Callithrix jacchus: one gene and its partner. The protein of the gene in region 2 purifies or fractionates together with the protein of the main gene of each other region. This does not show direct contact. Links are inferred from orthologs where the notes say so. Each region holds a gene or a part of one and is shown on either strand. Other genes may lie near its edges.

Region 1 (8,683 bases), on a different chromosome or scaffold from region 2:
CATTTGTAGCTGAATGGGATAAAAAAGAGATGTCCACATGTAAAAGAACATCATTGCACCCCTACCTCATACCTTAGACAAAAATTTAACTCAAAATGGATTAAGGACCTAAACGTAAGCACTGAAACTATGCAAGTCTTGATAAATTGAACATCATCCAAATTAAAATCATTTGTGCATCAGAGGACATCATCATTTGTGCATCACTTTTCACCATCAAAAAAGTGAAAAGACAGCCTACAGAGAAAGGCAGAAAATATTTGCAAATCATGTATCGCAGAAGGGATTTGTGTCCGAATATATAAAGAACTTATAACTCAACAATAAAAAGACAAATTTTTAAAGTGGGTAAAAGATTTAAATATACATTTCTCTAGAGAAGCTACACAAATGGCCAATAAAGATACAAAATGTTGTTTAGCATCATCAGTAATAAGGGAATGCAAAGCAAAACCAAAGAAATACCATTGAACATATAGGGCATATAAAATAAAGGGACAAATAATAACAAGTGTTGGCAGGGATATGGAGAAATCCTCCAGGCTGATATTATGAAACAGCTGTTTTGTAATAAAGCTCAAACCCTCTCAACTTCCAGGCACTGGTCTCATACCAACTGGTGTGATTGTGGGAGTAAGTCACTGCATACAAATCCTAGTTGTTAGCTTCCCAACTATCCCATCTAAAGCGTGATGCTACATACTTTGTGATTTGTGGGGTTAATTATAAGAATGCTATCCAATGCTGCTCATGAAAAGGAGGTTCTTTGAACAAGCTCAAACTCTCATATACCACTGGCAGGATTGTAAAATGGTGCAGCACCTTTGGAAAACAGTTTGGCAGTTCCTCAAATGCTAAACATAAGCCTGGGCAACAAAGTGAGACCCAATCTCTACGAAAAAAAAAGGTTGGGGGGTGGCAGGGGACGCATAGTAGTGCCTATACTCCCAACTATTCTAGGAGGCCTAGGTGGGAGCCTCTGGGGTCCCTGAGCTCAGGGACTGCTTGACCCCAGGTCAAGGCTGAAGTGAGACATGACTGTGCCACTGCATTCCAGCCTGGGTGACAAAGTGAGACCCTGTCTTCAAAAGAAAAGGAAAGCTAAACACAGAGTTACCACCCTAAGAGAATTAAAAACACGAAAACTTCTACAATATTTATAGCAGCATCATTAATAATAGTCAAAAAATGGAAACAACTAAAATGTCCATCAATTAATAACAGATAAACAATGAAACTTTATTCAGCCACTGGAAGCAACGAAGTACTGGCCAGGTATGGTGGCTCATGCCTATAATCCCAACACCTTGGGAGGCCGAGGACTACTTGAGCCCAGGAGTCCAAGACCACTCTGTGCAATATAGCAAGACCCCATCTCTACTTTAAAAAAAAAAAAAAAAAAAAAAAACAGCAGAAGGAACAAAGCTGATTGTATGCTACAAGGCATATGATGAATCTTAAAAATATTACAATAAGTCAAAGAAGCGATAAAGAAAAGGCCACATCGTGTATTCTTCCATTTCTATGAAGTGTTTAGAATAGGCCAATCCCAAAACGGAAGACAGATGAGATTACCAGAGACTGGGAGGAAACACAAGCTGACTGCTAATGAGTGTGGGGGTTTTAGAGAGTGATGAAAATGTTCTGGAACTAGACAAGAGTGATGTTATAAAACACTGCAAATGTACTAAGGGGCATGGAATTACGCCCTTTAAAGTGTTCAATCTTATGGTATGGAAACTAAACCTCGGTAAAGCTGTTATAAAAACACAAGAAAGCTAAAAATTCAAAAGAGTTGGTTTGGATATTGGAATCAGGACTGCGTTTACCATATCCTAGGGATCACCCTAGACTTCAGCTCCTTGTCACAAGTCTGCCTCCCACTTTACTGCATGCTAAGCTTCTTGAAGGCAAGGACATGTCTTCATCATCACATCCCTAGCATCCAGCCCAGAGTCCACCACATGGTGAAAAAATTAAATCGAAGCTCTGCCACTAACTAGCTGTGATGATCACCAACACAATCGTTTACTCTCTGAGCCACATGTGTAAAATCAGGCAACACCTACCTCAAAAGAGTGCTAGAAGTGTTAACTGAGACAGTAAAGTAAAGCTCTCAAGACAATACATGCTCAACAGGTTAGCTCTCTTCCCCTTAAAAAAGTGATCAAGAATGTCATTTCATTAAATAGAAGACTGTTCTCTCTTCTGGACCCATGGCTTTTCCTCCTACCTTGCCTACGACTCTAGAGGTATACAGATGGTTCATGAGCACACAGGAGAATAAAGATCTTTCCAGGTACCCGGTTGGTATAAGCCACTTCTGCTTTCCCTGTTCTAAAAGGGACAGGAGCAGGTAGGGTTATAACTGCAGACACACTTACTTTGATAGTCCTGTCGCCAGAGGCAGACACGATGTACTTGTCATCAAAGTCTACTACGTTGACAGCAGCCCGGTGGCCAACCAGGACACGGCGTAAAGTGATATCAGTTGCAGAAGCCATGTCCCACACAGCAATGGAGCGGTCTTTGGAACAGGTCACCATCAGTCCATTGCTGAAGCGTAAGTGCAGTACAGCCTCATTGTGATGGATTAATGTGTTAAGAACTTCACCCGTGTTCACATCCCACACTCTAGTAGAGAAAAGAAAAGCATGATGCTTAATTATTGAGACAGCCAGGAAATGATTCTGGTATCTGAGCTCTGCTTGGGTCTGCAATGGTTTGGATATGGTTTGACTCCACCAAATCTCATGCTGAAATTGATCCTCAGTGTTGGAGGTAGGGCCTGGCAGGAGGTGTCTGGGTCATGGTGGTGGATCACTCATGAATGGCTTGGTGCCATTCTCATAAGAGGGAGTTCACTCTTAGTTCCTGAGAGAATTGGTTGTTGAAAAGGGCCTAGCATCTCCTCCCTCTCTCTTGCTTTCCTCTCACATGTAATCTGCACATGCTGGCTACCCTTTGCCTTCTGACATGAGTAGAGGTAGCTCAAAACCCTCATCAGAAGCAGATACTGGTATATGCCTCTTGGAGAGCCTGCAGAACCATGAGTCAAATAAGCCCCTTTTCTTTATAAATTACCCAGCCTCAGGTATTCCTTTATAGCAACATAAATGGACAAAGACAGAGCCCATTCTTAATGAACCTAACAACATGATTAAAAGTAGGCCCTAAAAGTAATGTCTTTATTGCTAAGAGGTGCTAAGATGGTTTCAAACAAGGTGGCTAATTCTGGCTCTGCTCGAGTTTAGGTATATTTAGCAGTCAGGTATTCAGAGATGGTGTTTGCAGGCTTGTGCTGATAGAAAAGACGATTCCTTCAAGAAAGTAAATTTTGCAGTGAGTCTGAGATGACAGGAAGAAGGAATCTTGACAGCTGAAGAAGTGAGAATAGTTCCAAGCTTCCAGTTCTTGTTGACCTCTGACAGGCCTCTGAGTCTATTATTTATCCACTGCAAATTGGGTAAGTCATGATGCCTCATCAATCATCACATCCACTTCTTTATCCGGCTGCTTTATGGACAAAGCCAGGATCTAGCAACTGCTTTGTACATCCAGGGATTTGGGGGCAGCACCTCCACATCATGGCTTTTTTGTAACCCTCATTTCCTTAGAGGACAAGTTCACACAGGGCAGAGGAGAAAAGACTCAGGCCTCTGAGGCTCAGACACAATCTCTGGCAGAAGCAGTGGTACAGAAGCAATGAGTCCAGAGGAGGATACTAGGCGTGCTTTAAACGGGTGGTGAGAGTGTCCAGGAGTGAAGTGAGAGGCTAATAACAACAACTAACATAAAGAGGAGTGAAAAGGGGAGAACGTGGGTATCCAAAGACAGACTCAGTGACCATTCCAATCGCTTAGGCTCGTGTACCTGTAAAACAATCCTCTTCAAATATCTGACCCAACCCAGAAGAGCTGTTTCCTTCTCTTTCACATTTCCTCCAGATACCAGTAGTCTTGCTGAGGCTTTCCTGTGTGACCTACAGCTCTGATGGCCTCATCACTACACCCAACTCCCAAGCCCATCTGGTGTGAAAAAAATGCGTTTATCCCAGAGGTATAGGAATGGATATCAATAATGTTCCCTTTCTACTCGCTCACCTCTTACCCAAACGTCATTGCTTTCCTTGTACTGCAGAACATTGCCACTTTCATCTTCATCATTCTGCCACTCAGTGACAAATGAAAATCAGTGCTTCCACTACTGGCAAGGCTACATATACAGTCATGACTTGAATCAATTCAAGGTTCAAAATTTATTAATTCTGTGACTCTGAGCAAATTATTTAATCTCTCTGGTCTTGGTTTCCTAATACAACTCCAAAAATGGAGGTAACATCTGCCTCTTCAGAAAGGTTGATGTGAGAACTGATAAAATGATACAGAGTACCGAGTATACTATCCGCTCTCACATTTTACTTTCCTGGTGTTGCTGAAAAGATTCTGCAAACTGCTTTTGAGTCTTTCAGTATTTGTAGGTGGTGCCCACCACACTCCTAGAATAGCTGCCTTCCTCCTCTCTGCTCTGGACCACAGTTTCCCAAAAGGAAAAAGCCAGACTAATACTTGGTATGTGCTCGTACAGGAAAGCATGTTATCATCTCTAAAATGAACAGCAACACTCTTAAATTAGCTGTTTTGCCTAATTTGCTCAAACATATCTACAACAAAAGTAGTTTGAAACACAGCCTGTAAAAATGTATGCAAAGTTTATGTATGCCTCTCCCAGAGGAGGATGTCAATCACAGACTTTCTCAGGGAAGGCTTACAAGATCAACAAAGCCAGATCACTCACCTCACTGTAGAATCTGAAGAGCCAGTTACAATGACACGCTCATCATATTGCAGGCAGAGGACAGAGCCTGTGTGTCCTGTTAACACTTTCAAACATTCCAGGCTGGTTTTATCCCAAATCTATTGAGACAAGATTAGCCACAAACAACGATTTATTATTATACTATATTTTGATGAATATTACTGTCCCACCTTATGTTCTGATTATAAAATGAAATACTTGGGTTATAGTAAATAAGAAACATTGAATATCAAACAGGTAAGAAACAAGTAGGAATACAGACAATAGTGGTTAACTACTAGGATAGATGTGCTATTTTGTTTAATTTGAACCCTTAGCTATTAATCTCATTACACTTACCAATGGCCTCATAAAGGGAACTTTTAAAAAATAAAATCTGTGAAAAGAAGTCACTCACTGGCTGGGTGCTATGGCTCATGCCTGTAATCCCAACACTTTGGGAGGCAGAGACAGAAGTATCACTTGAGCCCAGAAGTTCAATACCAGCCTGGGAAACCCATCTCCACAAATTTTATATATGTTTTTTTTTTTTTTTTTAATTAGCCAGGCATGGTGGTGTCTGCCTGTAGTCCCAGCAACTCGGGAGGCTAAGGTGACAGGATTGCTTGAGCCCAGGAGGCAAGGCTGCAGTGAGTCACAATCACACCACTGTACTCCAGCCGGGGTGACAAGGCAGGACCCTGCTTTTCCATTTTATTTTATGTCTCGTAAAAATAAAGAAGTGGCTCAATCTCTGGAAAGCAACATGACAACATAACTATTAAGACCTTTTAAAAATGCATACCCCTATGTTTACAAAAATAAAATGTCCAACATTTCATAAAAGTCTCAAAGTAAACTATGAAGAGTTTTTAATGAGAAAATATCATGCTTCATTACAAAGTTAAGCATTTTTAAAAATCAGAATAAAAATTATAAAGTGACACAATGACTATGTATATACTGCAGAAAAGGAAAAAAGGATTAAAGGAAGGAAATTGTTATTAATAGTTGTTTTCATACTCCTGAGTGTTCCTTTTCTCGCTTCTTTTACGGCTTCCACAGATTTGTCTTTTCTAGAATGTCACAGAGTTGGAATCATACAGTATGTAGCCTTTTTAGATTGGCTTCTTTCACATAGTAATACACATTTAAACTTCCTCCCTGTCTTTTCATGGCTTGATATACGTTCCTTTTTAGTGCTGAAAATTATCCCTGTTGTCTAGATGTACTACAGTTTATTTATCCATATACCTACTGAAGGACACCTTGGTTGCTTCCAAGTTTGGGCAATTATGGGCAAAGCTGCCATAAACATCTGGGTCCAGGCTTTTGTGTAGACATAAGTTTTTGATTCCGTTGTGTAAATATTAAGTCGCACAACTGCTGGATCATATGGTAAAAGTATGTTTAGTTTTGTAAGAACTGCCAAACTGCCTTACAACGTGGCTGTACCATTTTGTATTTCCACCAGCAGTGAATTCAAGCTCCTGTTCCTGTTGCTCCACATGCTCGCCAGCATTGGGTGTTGTCAGTGTTCTGGATTTTGTCCATGCTAACAGGTGTGCAGTGGTGTCTCATTGTTATAATCCACATTTCCCTGATGACTTACGTGGAACATCTTGTCACATGCTTATATGCCATCTGTGTATCTTCTTTGGTGACATGTCTGTTAAGGTCTATGCCTTATTTTTTTTTTTTAATAGGTTAATTAATTTTCTAACTGTTGAGATTCAAGAGCTCTTTCTATGTCTTTTGCATATATTTTCTCTCGTCTGTGGCTTGTTTTTTCATTCTCTGGACAATGTCTCTCACAGAACAGAAATTTTTTATTTTAATGAAGTCCAGCTTATTCTTTCTTTAATGAAGCATGCCTTTGACATTGTATCTAAAAAGTCACCAACAAACTCAAGATCATGTGGGTTTTCTACTATATTGTATTCTACAAATTTTATGGTTTTCTGTTTTACATCTAGGCCTTTAATCCATTTTGATTTAATTTTTGTGAAGTATATAGGATCTGTGTCTGTATTATTTGGGAGTAAAGGAGGCAATATGGTGTCTAGTTGCTTCTGCCCAATTGCTGAAGAGACTATCTTTTCTCCATTGTATTACCTTTGTAAAAGATCAGGTGACTATATTTGTGAAGGTATGTATTTCTGGGCTCTCTATTCTTTTCCATGGATCTAGCTGTCCATTCTGTTGCCAGCACCACACCGTCGTGATTACTGCAGTTTTACAGTAATTCCTAAAGTAGTGTTAATCCTCTGTCTTTATTTTCCTTCAATATCCATGCTGGCTTTTGCTTCATATAAAGTCAGCTGGTAGATATCCACAAAATAGCTTGCTGAGTTTTTGACTGAGAGGGCATTGAACCTACAGACCCATTTGGGAAGAAATAACTGACATCCTCACAACAGTCTTCCTGCCCATGAGCATGAAATATCTCTCCATTTATTTAGTTGTTTGATTTCTTGAATCAGAGTTTGACAGTTTTAGTCACACAGATCCCATAAATATTTTGTTAGATTTATACCTAAGTTTTTCATTTGGGATGGGGGGTTGCTAATAGGAATATTATTGTATTTTTTGTTTTGGGTGGGGATGCTAATATAAATATTACTGTGTTTTTTGTTTTGGTTTTGAGATGGAGTCTCGCTCTGTCACCTAAGCTGGAGTGTAGAGGTATACGATCTTGGCTCACTGCAACCTCCACCTCCCAGGTTCAAGCGATTCTCCTGCCTCAGCCTCCTGAGTAGCTAGGACTACAGGTGCATGCCATGAGGCCCAGCTAATTTTTGTACTTTTAGTAGAGATGAGGTTTCACCATGTTGGCCAGGCAGGTCACAAACTCCTGACCTCCAATGATCCACACGCCTCAGCCTCCCAAAGTGCTGGGATTTCAGGCATGAGCCACCATTCACAGTTATGTTACTGTGTTTTTAATTTTATATTCCACTTGTTCCTTGCTGGTATATGGGTAAGCAACTGATTTATGTATACTAACCTTGTATCCTGCAACCTTGCTATAATCATTTATTAGTTCTAGGAGGTTTTTTTGCTAATGCTTTTATTTTTTTTCTACAATCATGTCCTCTACAAGCAAAGACAGGTTTACTTCTTCCTTCTTGATTTGTATACCTTTTATTTTCTCTTGTCTTACTGTGTTATCTAGGAGTTCTAATATAATGTTGAAAAGTAGTGGTGAGTAGAGACATCTTTGCCTTATTCCTGATCTTATAGGTTTTTTTGTAGATACTCTTTATCAAGTTAAGAAAGTTCTCCTCTATTCATCGTTTACTAAGGGTTTTTAACATGAGTAAGTGTTCAATTTTGTCAAATGCCTTTTCTGCATCTATTGATGTGATTTTCTTTTTTGGCTTATTGATATGATGGATTATATTAATTGATTCTTGAAGGTTAAATGTGAAGGTAAACCTTGGATACCTAGGACAAATACTTGTTCATATTTAATGCATCTTTTAATATATTGTTGGACTGGGCTTGCCAATATTTTGTTGAGGATTTTTGTGGCCACACTCATGAGTGATAATGGTCTGTGATTTTCTTTTCTTATAATGTCTTTGTGTCTAGTTCAGTACTAAGGTAATGCTGGCCTCATAGAATGAGCAAGGAAATATTCTCTCTGCTTCTATCTTTTGGAAGAGGTTGTAGAGAACTGGTGTTATTTCTTGCTTAAATGTTTGGCAGAATTCACCAGTAACCAATCTGGGCCTAGTGCTTTCTGTTTTGAAAGGTAATTAATTATTGACTTGATTTCTTCAACAGATAAAGACCTATTCAGATTATCCATTTGCTTTTATGACAATTCTGGCAGATTGTGTCTTTCAGGGAATTAATTCACTTCAGATAAATTATCAAATTT
Region 2 (8,683 bases):
GTGTCTTTTGATTGGTGCATTTAGCCCATTTACATTTAGGGTTAATATTGTTATGCGTGAACTTGATACTAGCTGGCTGTTTTGCCTGTTAGTTGATGCAGATTCTTCATTTTGTTGATGCTCTTCAACATTTGGTGTGTTTTCAGAGTGGCTGGTACTGGTTGTTCCTTTCTACGTGCCTCTTTCAGGAGCTCTTGTAGAGCAGGCCTGATGGTGACAAAATCTCTGAGTACTTGCTTGTTCGCAAAGGATTTTATTTTTCCTTCACTTATGAAGCTCAGTTGGATATGAAATTCTGGGTTGAAAGTTCTTTTCTTTAAGGATGTTGAATATTGGCCCCCACTCTCTTCTGGCTGGTAGGGTTTCTGCCAAGAGATCTGCTTTGAGTCTGATGGGCTTCCCTTTGTGGGTGACCCGAGTGACTTTCTCTCTGGCTGCTCTTAGCATTTTCTCCTTCATTTCAACCCTGGTGAATCTGACGATTATGTGCCTTGGGGTTGCTCTTCTTGTGGAATATCTTTGTTGTGGTCTCTGTATTTCCTGGACTTGAATATTGGCCTGCCTTGCTAGGTTGGGGAAATTTTCCTGGATAATATCCTGAAGAGTATTTTCCAGCTTGGATTCATTCTCTTCGTCCATTCAGGTACACCTATCAAATGTAGATTAGATCTCTTCACCTCATCCCACATTTCTTGGAGACTTTGTTCATTCCTTTTTGCGCTTTTTTCTCTAATATTGGTTTCTCATTTTATTTCATTGAGTTGATCTTCGACTTCTGATATCCTTTCTTCTGCTTGGTCAATTCGGCTGTTGAGACTTGTGCATGCTTCATGAAGTTCTCGTGTTGTGTTTTTCAGCTCCATCAATTCACTCATATTCCTCTCTAAGTTGTCCATTCTTGTTATCATTTCCTCAAATGTTTTTTCCAAGTTCTTAGTTTCTTTGCATTGAGTTAGAACGTGTTCTTTTAGCTCACACAAGTTTCTCATTATTCTCCATCCAGCTTTGTTCCCTTGCTGGTGAGGGGTTGTGGTCCCTTGTAGGAGGCGAGGTGTTCTGGTTTCAGGTGTTTTCCTCCTTTTTGCACTGGTTTTTTCCCATCTTGATGGATTTATCCACCTGTCGTCTGAGTAGTTGCTGACTTTCCAATTGGGTCTCTGAGTGGATGTCTAGATTGTTAATGATGAAGTATTTCTGTTTCTTAGTTTTCTTTCTAACAGTCTAGCCCCACTGCTGTAGGACTGCTGAGGTCCACTCCAGGCCCTGCTTGCCTGGGGAACACCTGTAGCAGCTGCGGAACAGTGAGGGTTGCTACCAGTTTCTTCTTCTGCTATCTTTGTCCCAGAATTATGCCTGCCAAATGTCAGTCTGATCAGTCCTTTGTGAGGTGAGTTTTTGGATATATGGGGGTCAGGGAGCTGCTTGAGGAGACAGTCTGTACTTTATAGGAGCTCAAGTGCTGAGCTGTGAGCTCCATTGTTCATTCAGGGCTGCTACGCAGGTACGTTTAAGTCTGCTGCAGCAGAACTCATAAAGCCCCTTTTTTTCCTCAGGTGCTCTGTCCCGGGGAGTTAGGGCTTTATTTATGAGCATCCGTTGCACTACCCTGCCCAGCAAGGAGGCAGTCTAGTCACTGCCTGCCTGCAGTGGCTATGCTGAGCTGCTCTGGGCTCTGCCCTGCTGCTGTGTGTAATTCCCTGTAGTCCTATTTATATGGGTGTGGTTAGAACTGCCGTGGCAATGGTGGCCCGCCTCTGTAATGGTGGACTGTCTCTGTTATGGCGGGTTGCCTCGGCAACGGCAGGCTGCGCCAGCAATGGCAGAGTACCTCCGTAGAGGTGGAGTGCCTCGGTAATGGCAGATGCCCCTCCTCCTCCGAGCTGCACCATCCTGGGTTCAGCTGTGCTTGCCGTGAAACTCTCAACCCCGAGCGTTTCCAATTGCTGTTTTCTTTGGTTTTGTGGGGGTGGGACCCGCCGAGCCTTATCACCTGGCTCCCTACCTCAGAGCCCTTTTTTTTTTTTTTAAGTTGAACGGTTGACTCTCCCAGGTGTTCCAGTCGCCTGCTGAAAGGGCACCAGGATCTGTGTGATTTCCTGTGCGGCGACCCACTGCGCCAGCTGAAACAACATCACTGCCCAGGAATCTCCTGGGCTAACTGTTTAGGTCCCATTTAATCAGATGAATGTGCTAATCTGCCTTCCCAAATCTCAAATTGCCGGTTTAACAGGGCAACCAGACAAGTGTATTTTGTACGGAGTGCTGCTGCGCTGTGGCGCCAACCGAAACAGCCACGCCGGCTTAAACAGCCACATTGGCGGCCCGTGGGGCTCCTACACCTAGGAATCTCCTGATCTGTGGGCAATAAAGATCCATCTGGAAATGTGGCGTCCACTCACCCTCTGTGCTTTCACTGGGAGCTGCAATCCTGAGTTGCTCCTATAGTGCCATCTTCTCCTCTCCTCTCTTTTTTTTTTTTTTTGAAGACAGAGTCCTGCTCTGTTGCCTAGGCTGGAGTGCAGTGGCGTGATCTCAGCTCACTACAACCACTGCCTCCCAGGTTCAAGCAATTCTCCTGCCTCAGTCTCCCAAGTAGCTGGGACTACAGGTGTGCACCACTGTACCCAACTAAATTTTGTATTTTTTTTTTGGTAGAGACAGGGTTTCACCATGTTGACCAGGTTGATCTTGGACTCCTGACCTCAGGTGATTCACCTGCCTCCGAAAGTGCTGGGATTACAGGTGTGAGCCACCGCACCAGGCAGCCAATTGTCTTTTATCAGAACTCTCTTCCCTCCCAAAAATACTTAAGTGGTACCCCATCACCTCTTAGATTAAGATACTCTCTTATCATGACTTCAATGTATTTTAAGACCTGGTACCTCTCTTGCTTAATTTTCTAATATTTCTGACATCAGAACTTATAGGCATGAGCCACCATGCCTAATTTTTTTGTAGAGATGGATTTTGCCACATTGCCCATGCTGGTCTCAAACTCCTGAGCTCAAGTGATCCGCCTGCCTCATCCCCACTACTACTGCCTCAATTTAGTCCATGTCAGTCCCCTGTCCAACTGAAGTAGGACAGTTTGAGCCCTGGAGCCAGAGGTTGCAGTGAGTAGAAATTGCATCACTGTACTCCAGGCTGGGTGAAAGTGGGAGACTGTCTCAAAAAAATAGTCAAGCATTTGTAACTGACTTCACATGCATGTCATGCTATTATAATCCTGTATTGTAGCAAACATGGGTGTTTTCCTTCCCTTTTTTCACCTGAAAAATTATTGGTTATGAGGAATTATCTCTGCTAGAAATTATTACATTATATATTTCTCCCAATGTTTCTTGTTTAAGCTTCTATAGGTATAATTATACATGGTCGTTTGTTTTTAAATGCTATTAAGTGAGCTCCCTAAGGAGACATGCTCTGTCTTAATGAGTACCTGATACAAAGTTGTTGCTGAGTGTCAGGCACTGTGCTAGGTAATTAAGGCATAGATATAATGAGATAAAGGGACCCTTAAATTAAGAAATATATAGAAGTACCTTAAAAATATGTATACATAAGCTTTCTGATCCTTCAATCCTTAGTACACTCCCATGCCTCTAGATTTATGTAGGATCTTACTATTTATACTAATTATCTTCAATTTTTGGTATGTATCAGTCACCTAGGTGAGATATATACATACAAACAGATTCTCAAACTCTGTCCTTGTAATCTCATAAAAGACAGCTGTCATTTAGGGACAGTCTAAAGGTGATCCCAATGGGCAGAAAACTTAGAACTGCTGATTTTATTACTCAGCAGTCACCTCATGTGCTTTCCCAGCATTGTTCTAACTTTTTTCATATCACTTGGTCTCTAGCCAACTAGATTTTACTCTTATTTGTATAAATGCCAGTGCTTACTGAACTCCTATGCACAAAAGTAAGCTGTAACTGTATTTAGGGTCTGTATTTTAAAAAATTAAAATCTAACATCAAATGGGGTTGAGGCCAGGCCCAGTGGCTCACACCAAATCCCAGAGCTTTGGAAGGCTGAGGCAGGAGGATCAGTTGAAGCCAAGAGTTCAAGACCAGGCTAGGCAACATAGCAAGACCTTGGCTCTACAAAAAATAATAATAGAAATTAGCTGAGTGTGGTGGTACATGCTTATAGTCTTGGTTGCTGAGGTGGGAGGACTGCCTGAGCCCAGGAATTCAGGTTACCATGGGCTGTGATAACACCACTGCACTCCAGCCTGGGCAACAGAGGGAGACCATGTTTCTTTAAAAAGAGGTGGAGGAGGCTGGGTGCAGTCGCTCACGCCTGTAATCCCAGCACTTTGAGAGGCCGAGTTGTCTGGATCACAAGGTCAGGAGTTTGAGACCAGCCTGGCCAACATGGTAAAACCCTGTTGCTACTAAAAATGCAAAATATTAGCCAGGCATGGTGGTGGGTGCCTGTAATCCCAGCTACTCAGGAAGATGAGGCAGGAGAATCACTTGAACCCTGGAGGCGGAGGTTGCAGTGAGCTGAGATCATGCCACTGCACCCTGGCCTGGGTGACAGAGTAAGAATGTAAAAAATAATAATAATTTAAATAAAGAGGTGGAGGGTGGGGGAAGGGTAGGGTTTGTATTTGCAAATTTTTTGGGTACTATTAGAAGAACCTGATGTCCTAAGAGATTAAAGGTTGAGCTTTTTTCCATTATACATAGAGAAGAAAGTAAAAGAACCCAAAAATTAATCATTTTGGACTAATTATTTGTGGGACCATTTTTCATAATAGCAGAGCCACTAGTAGATTCCAAATCCCTTGAATCTTATTCTAGGGTTCTGTTATACCACACATTAGTGTTGCTGAGAATGAGGATTTCCAAGATACTTGCTGCTATGGTCAGGAATGCCAATAAACTAGAAGGCTTTATTTATTCAATTTTTTTTTTTTTTTTTTTTAAGATGGAGTGTCGCCCAGGCTGGAGTGTAGTGGTGCAATCTTGGCTCACTGCAACCTTCACTTCCTGGGTTCAACCAATTCTCCTGCCTCAACCTCCTGAGTAGCTGGGATTACAGGCATGCACCACCACACCTGGCTAATTTTTGTGTAGAGATGGGGTTTCACCATGTTGGCCAGGCTGGTCTCAAACTCCTGACCTCAGTGATCTACCTGCCTCAGCCTCCCAACGCACTGGGATTACAGGCATGAGCCACTGTGCCGGGCCTATTTATTCAAATTTTGAAAACAAAATTACTCTGTCTTACGTACACCTGATACTCTGTCCTATGTACCTGGAAAATCTGGAGTACCTTGGGTAATTGCGTTTGCTACACTTAACCAATATGTTCTAGAACAAGGTCCCTAAAATGATTAAAAGACACTTTGCAAACTTGTCTAGTTAAGAACCTAGAAGTTCTGGTTTCTAGAAAATCAGGTCTGCTACTGCATTATCTAGCGAAGTTCACTGGGCTCAGGCAGAAATCTTCTCTTCCCACACTATAAATCTAATTGAGGAAAATTATCCTGGAATGGACAGGATATTTAAGTTTGATGTAAAACCTTGGTTCCAGAATATATTTTGGTTTTGTATAATGACTTGAGGTAATTAAAAAAAAAAAAAAAAACCAAAGCAACTTACCTAATGATTTCAGCATATTCTTTGTCTTTTCCTTTACTGTCTCTCCATTTCCTGAACATAACTGAAGCATCGACGTTGGCTGGGGAGAAGGTGTTGGGCTCATTAAGCAGTGAGATTACACTTAATAGGATAGTCCTAGAAACAGGAAAAAAGGGTCAGCTATGAATACCCATATTTACAGTATTTAAAACTTCTGCTTTTTAAGAAAGTACAATCGGATTTCAAATTTTCCCTCCCTTAAAATTTTTCTGATACAATTTAATTTGAGACCGTGGGGGATTAGAGAAGATCATAAATTTGTATTGATGGTTTTCATAAAAGGCATTTAAGAAAAATAAGATTTAAAAAATTTTCTTCAGAAACAAGCTGCTGTTAGGCAAAGCAGAGAAAATCTGTGATTCTAGTATAAGGATAATGCACAAAGCATAAAAATGAACTTGATGGAAAGCCCTGTCTCAACTAGCTGCATGTTCCAATCTGCAGAAAGTGGATGTCTTAGAAGCTTTCAAATATTGTTTATTTTTACAATTACAAATTAAATGGCATGAGGGGAAAAGCTTAAAATATTTAGCTTCTCAAAACTCCTGTGCTGATCAGTAGTGGGATCATGCCTGTGAATAGCCACCGTACTCCAGCCTGGGCAACATAGTGAGACCCTGTCTCCAAAAAATTTTTAAAAAGAGAGAAAAAATATTTAATTTCAAGGCAATCTTGATGTGGAACGGGGTAAAAATGACACTATTCTATATAACCAGGTTTGTGGGTTTGTGTTTGTTTTGTTTGTTTTTTGTTTTTGAGACGGAGTTTCGCTCCTGTCGCCCAGGCAATGGAACGATCTTGGCTCACTACAACAACAGTCTCCCAAGTTCAAGCGATTCTCTTGCCTCAGCCTCCTGAGCAGCTGGGATTACAAGCATGCACCACCACACCTGGCTAATTTTATATTTTTAATAGATACGGGGTTTCTCCATGTTGGTCAGGCTGGTCTCGAACTCCCAACCTCAGGTGATCTGCCCGCCTCAGCCTTCCACAGTGCTGGGATTACAGGCGTAAGCCACTACACCCGGCTCAGTTTTTTTTTTTTGTTTTTTTTTTTTGAGACAGAGTCTTGCTCTGTCTCCCAGGATGCAGTGCAGTGGCATGGTCTCAGCTCACTGTAACCTCTGCCTCCCGTGTTTAAGTGATTCTCCTGCCTCAGTCTCCTGAGTAGCTGGGATTACAGGCATGTGCCACCACGCCTAGCTCATTTTTGTATTTTTAGTAGGGAGAGGGTTTTGCAGTGTTGGCCAGGCTGGTCCTGAACTCCTGGCCTTAAGTGATCTGCCCATCTTGGCCTCCCAAAGTGCTTGGATTACACGCATGAGCCACCATGCCCAGCCCTATATAACCAGTTTTTATTGTGGCCTCTTAAATGACCTGAAAAAGAGTGCTACAAATATATTTTTTCCATACTTAGAAGACAGAGTTAAGCAGGAGAATGGAGGAAAAGCAGAATCCTCCAAACAAAAGAATTAGAATCTCTGAATAACAGAAATTTTCATTCAAAGGTATTTACTATGTACCTACTGTGTGCCAGAGGCACCAAGTGAGATGTAAAATGGATGTACAGTATACAATGCTGAGCAAGTTAGATGCCATCCCCTGGTCTCCCAGGGCTTACAAATCTAGTGGGTGTTACAAAAGGCCAGTTTTCATCCACAGATAAAAATTAGACATTTCATAGCCGGGCACGGTGGCTCAAGCCTGTAATCCCAGCACTTTGGGAGGCTGAGGTGGGTGGATCACAAGGTCAATGGATCGAGACCATCCTGGTCAACATGGTGAAACCCCGTCTCTACTAAAAATACAAAAAATTAGCTGGGCATGGTGGCGCGTGCCTGTAATCCCAGCTACTCAGGAGGCTGAGACAGGAGAATTGCCTGAACCCAGGAGGTGGAGGTTGCGGTGAGCCAAGATCGCGCCATTGCACTCCAGCCTGGGTAACAAGAGCGAAACTCCGTCTCAAAAAAGAAAAAAAAAAAAAAATTAAACATTCCAAATAATCAGGGAATAAAGTTTTTGTTAGAAAGTCTTGGCTTCAAAACAGTTCCAAATTACTCCTAGGCTTTTCCCCCTAAACAATTGTGTGCATTAGGAGAAAAATGGGAGGAAAGATGAAATGTCTCTATCTTTCCTCACTGATAAGAGATTGTGCTGCAAAAATAGCCTTTTGCTCCTGGCCCCAAGCAAAAAACAAAGGGAGGAAAACAGGCAATTAGATGTTTGATCTGATGAAAACTTTTCCTTAAAATGGTTAAGAATTTCTGTTATACGATTATACAAGATTATGACAAAGGCATTTTCAAAGAAAACTTTTCTATCTAGTTAGAATCCATTGATCACACATGCTCCTTTCTGTTAGGTTAAGGAGAACTCCTTGGCCTTCCTCCCCTAAGAGCCTTCTGGATTTCTTCAGTAATTACATTAAAAAGAGTCAAAGAAGGCCAGGTAAGGTTGCTCACGTCTGTAATCAAAGCACCTTAGGAGGCCGAGGCAGGTGGATCACAAGGTCAGGAGATTGAGACCATCCTGGCTAACATGGTGAAACCCTGTCTCTACTAAAAATACAAAAAATTAGCCGGGTGTGGTGGCATGCCCCTATAGCCCCAGCTACTCAGGAGGATGAGGCGAGAGAATTGCTTGAACCCAGGAGGTGCAGGTTGCAGTGAGCCCAGATTGAACTACTGCACTCAGCCTGGGTGAAAGAGCGAGACTGTGTCTCAAAACAAAAAAAAAGAAAGAAGGAAAGAAAGAAACTCATCACTGCCAACGTAGAAAATGGATGGACAAGTGTTCAAGTGGTTCTTCTGCCTTAGCCTCTAGCCTTGACCAGGCTGGTCTTGAACTCCTGACCTCAAGTGATCCACTGGCCTCGGCCTCCCAAGGTGCTGGGATTATAGGTGTGAGTCACCATGGCTGGCTGGAAAAATAGCTTAAATTGTCTAGATCAGTACTGTCCATTAACAACTTTCTATGATGATGATTATGTTGATGTATAACCTATGCTGTTCAATAAAGTAACCACT

Evidence for each region.
Region 1: the proteins of UBE2R2 (region 2) and FBXW11 purify together in Homo sapiens (affinity purification with mass spectrometry; 4 studies listed by BioGRID and IntAct, with this or other methods). This does not show direct contact. The link is inferred for Callithrix jacchus from reciprocal best matches to the Homo sapiens genes UBE2R2 and FBXW11.

The regions. Positions count from the first base shown.
Region 1 is NC_133503.1:64,152,942-64,161,624, forward strand, and holds part of FBXW11 (F-box/WD repeat-containing protein 11), read right to left. Parts: intron 4,917-8,683; coding exon 4,798-4,916; intron 2,635-4,797; coding exon 2,385-2,634; intron 1-2,384.
Region 2 is NC_133502.1:140,776,813-140,785,495, reverse strand, and holds part of UBE2R2 (ubiquitin-conjugating enzyme E2 R2), read right to left. Parts: intron 5,754-8,683; coding exon 5,619-5,753; intron 1-5,618. UniProt on the Homo sapiens protein: E2 ubiquitin-conjugating enzyme that accepts ubiquitin from an E1 ubiquitin-activating protein, and catalyzes its covalent attachment to other proteins by an E3 ubiquitin-protein ligase complex.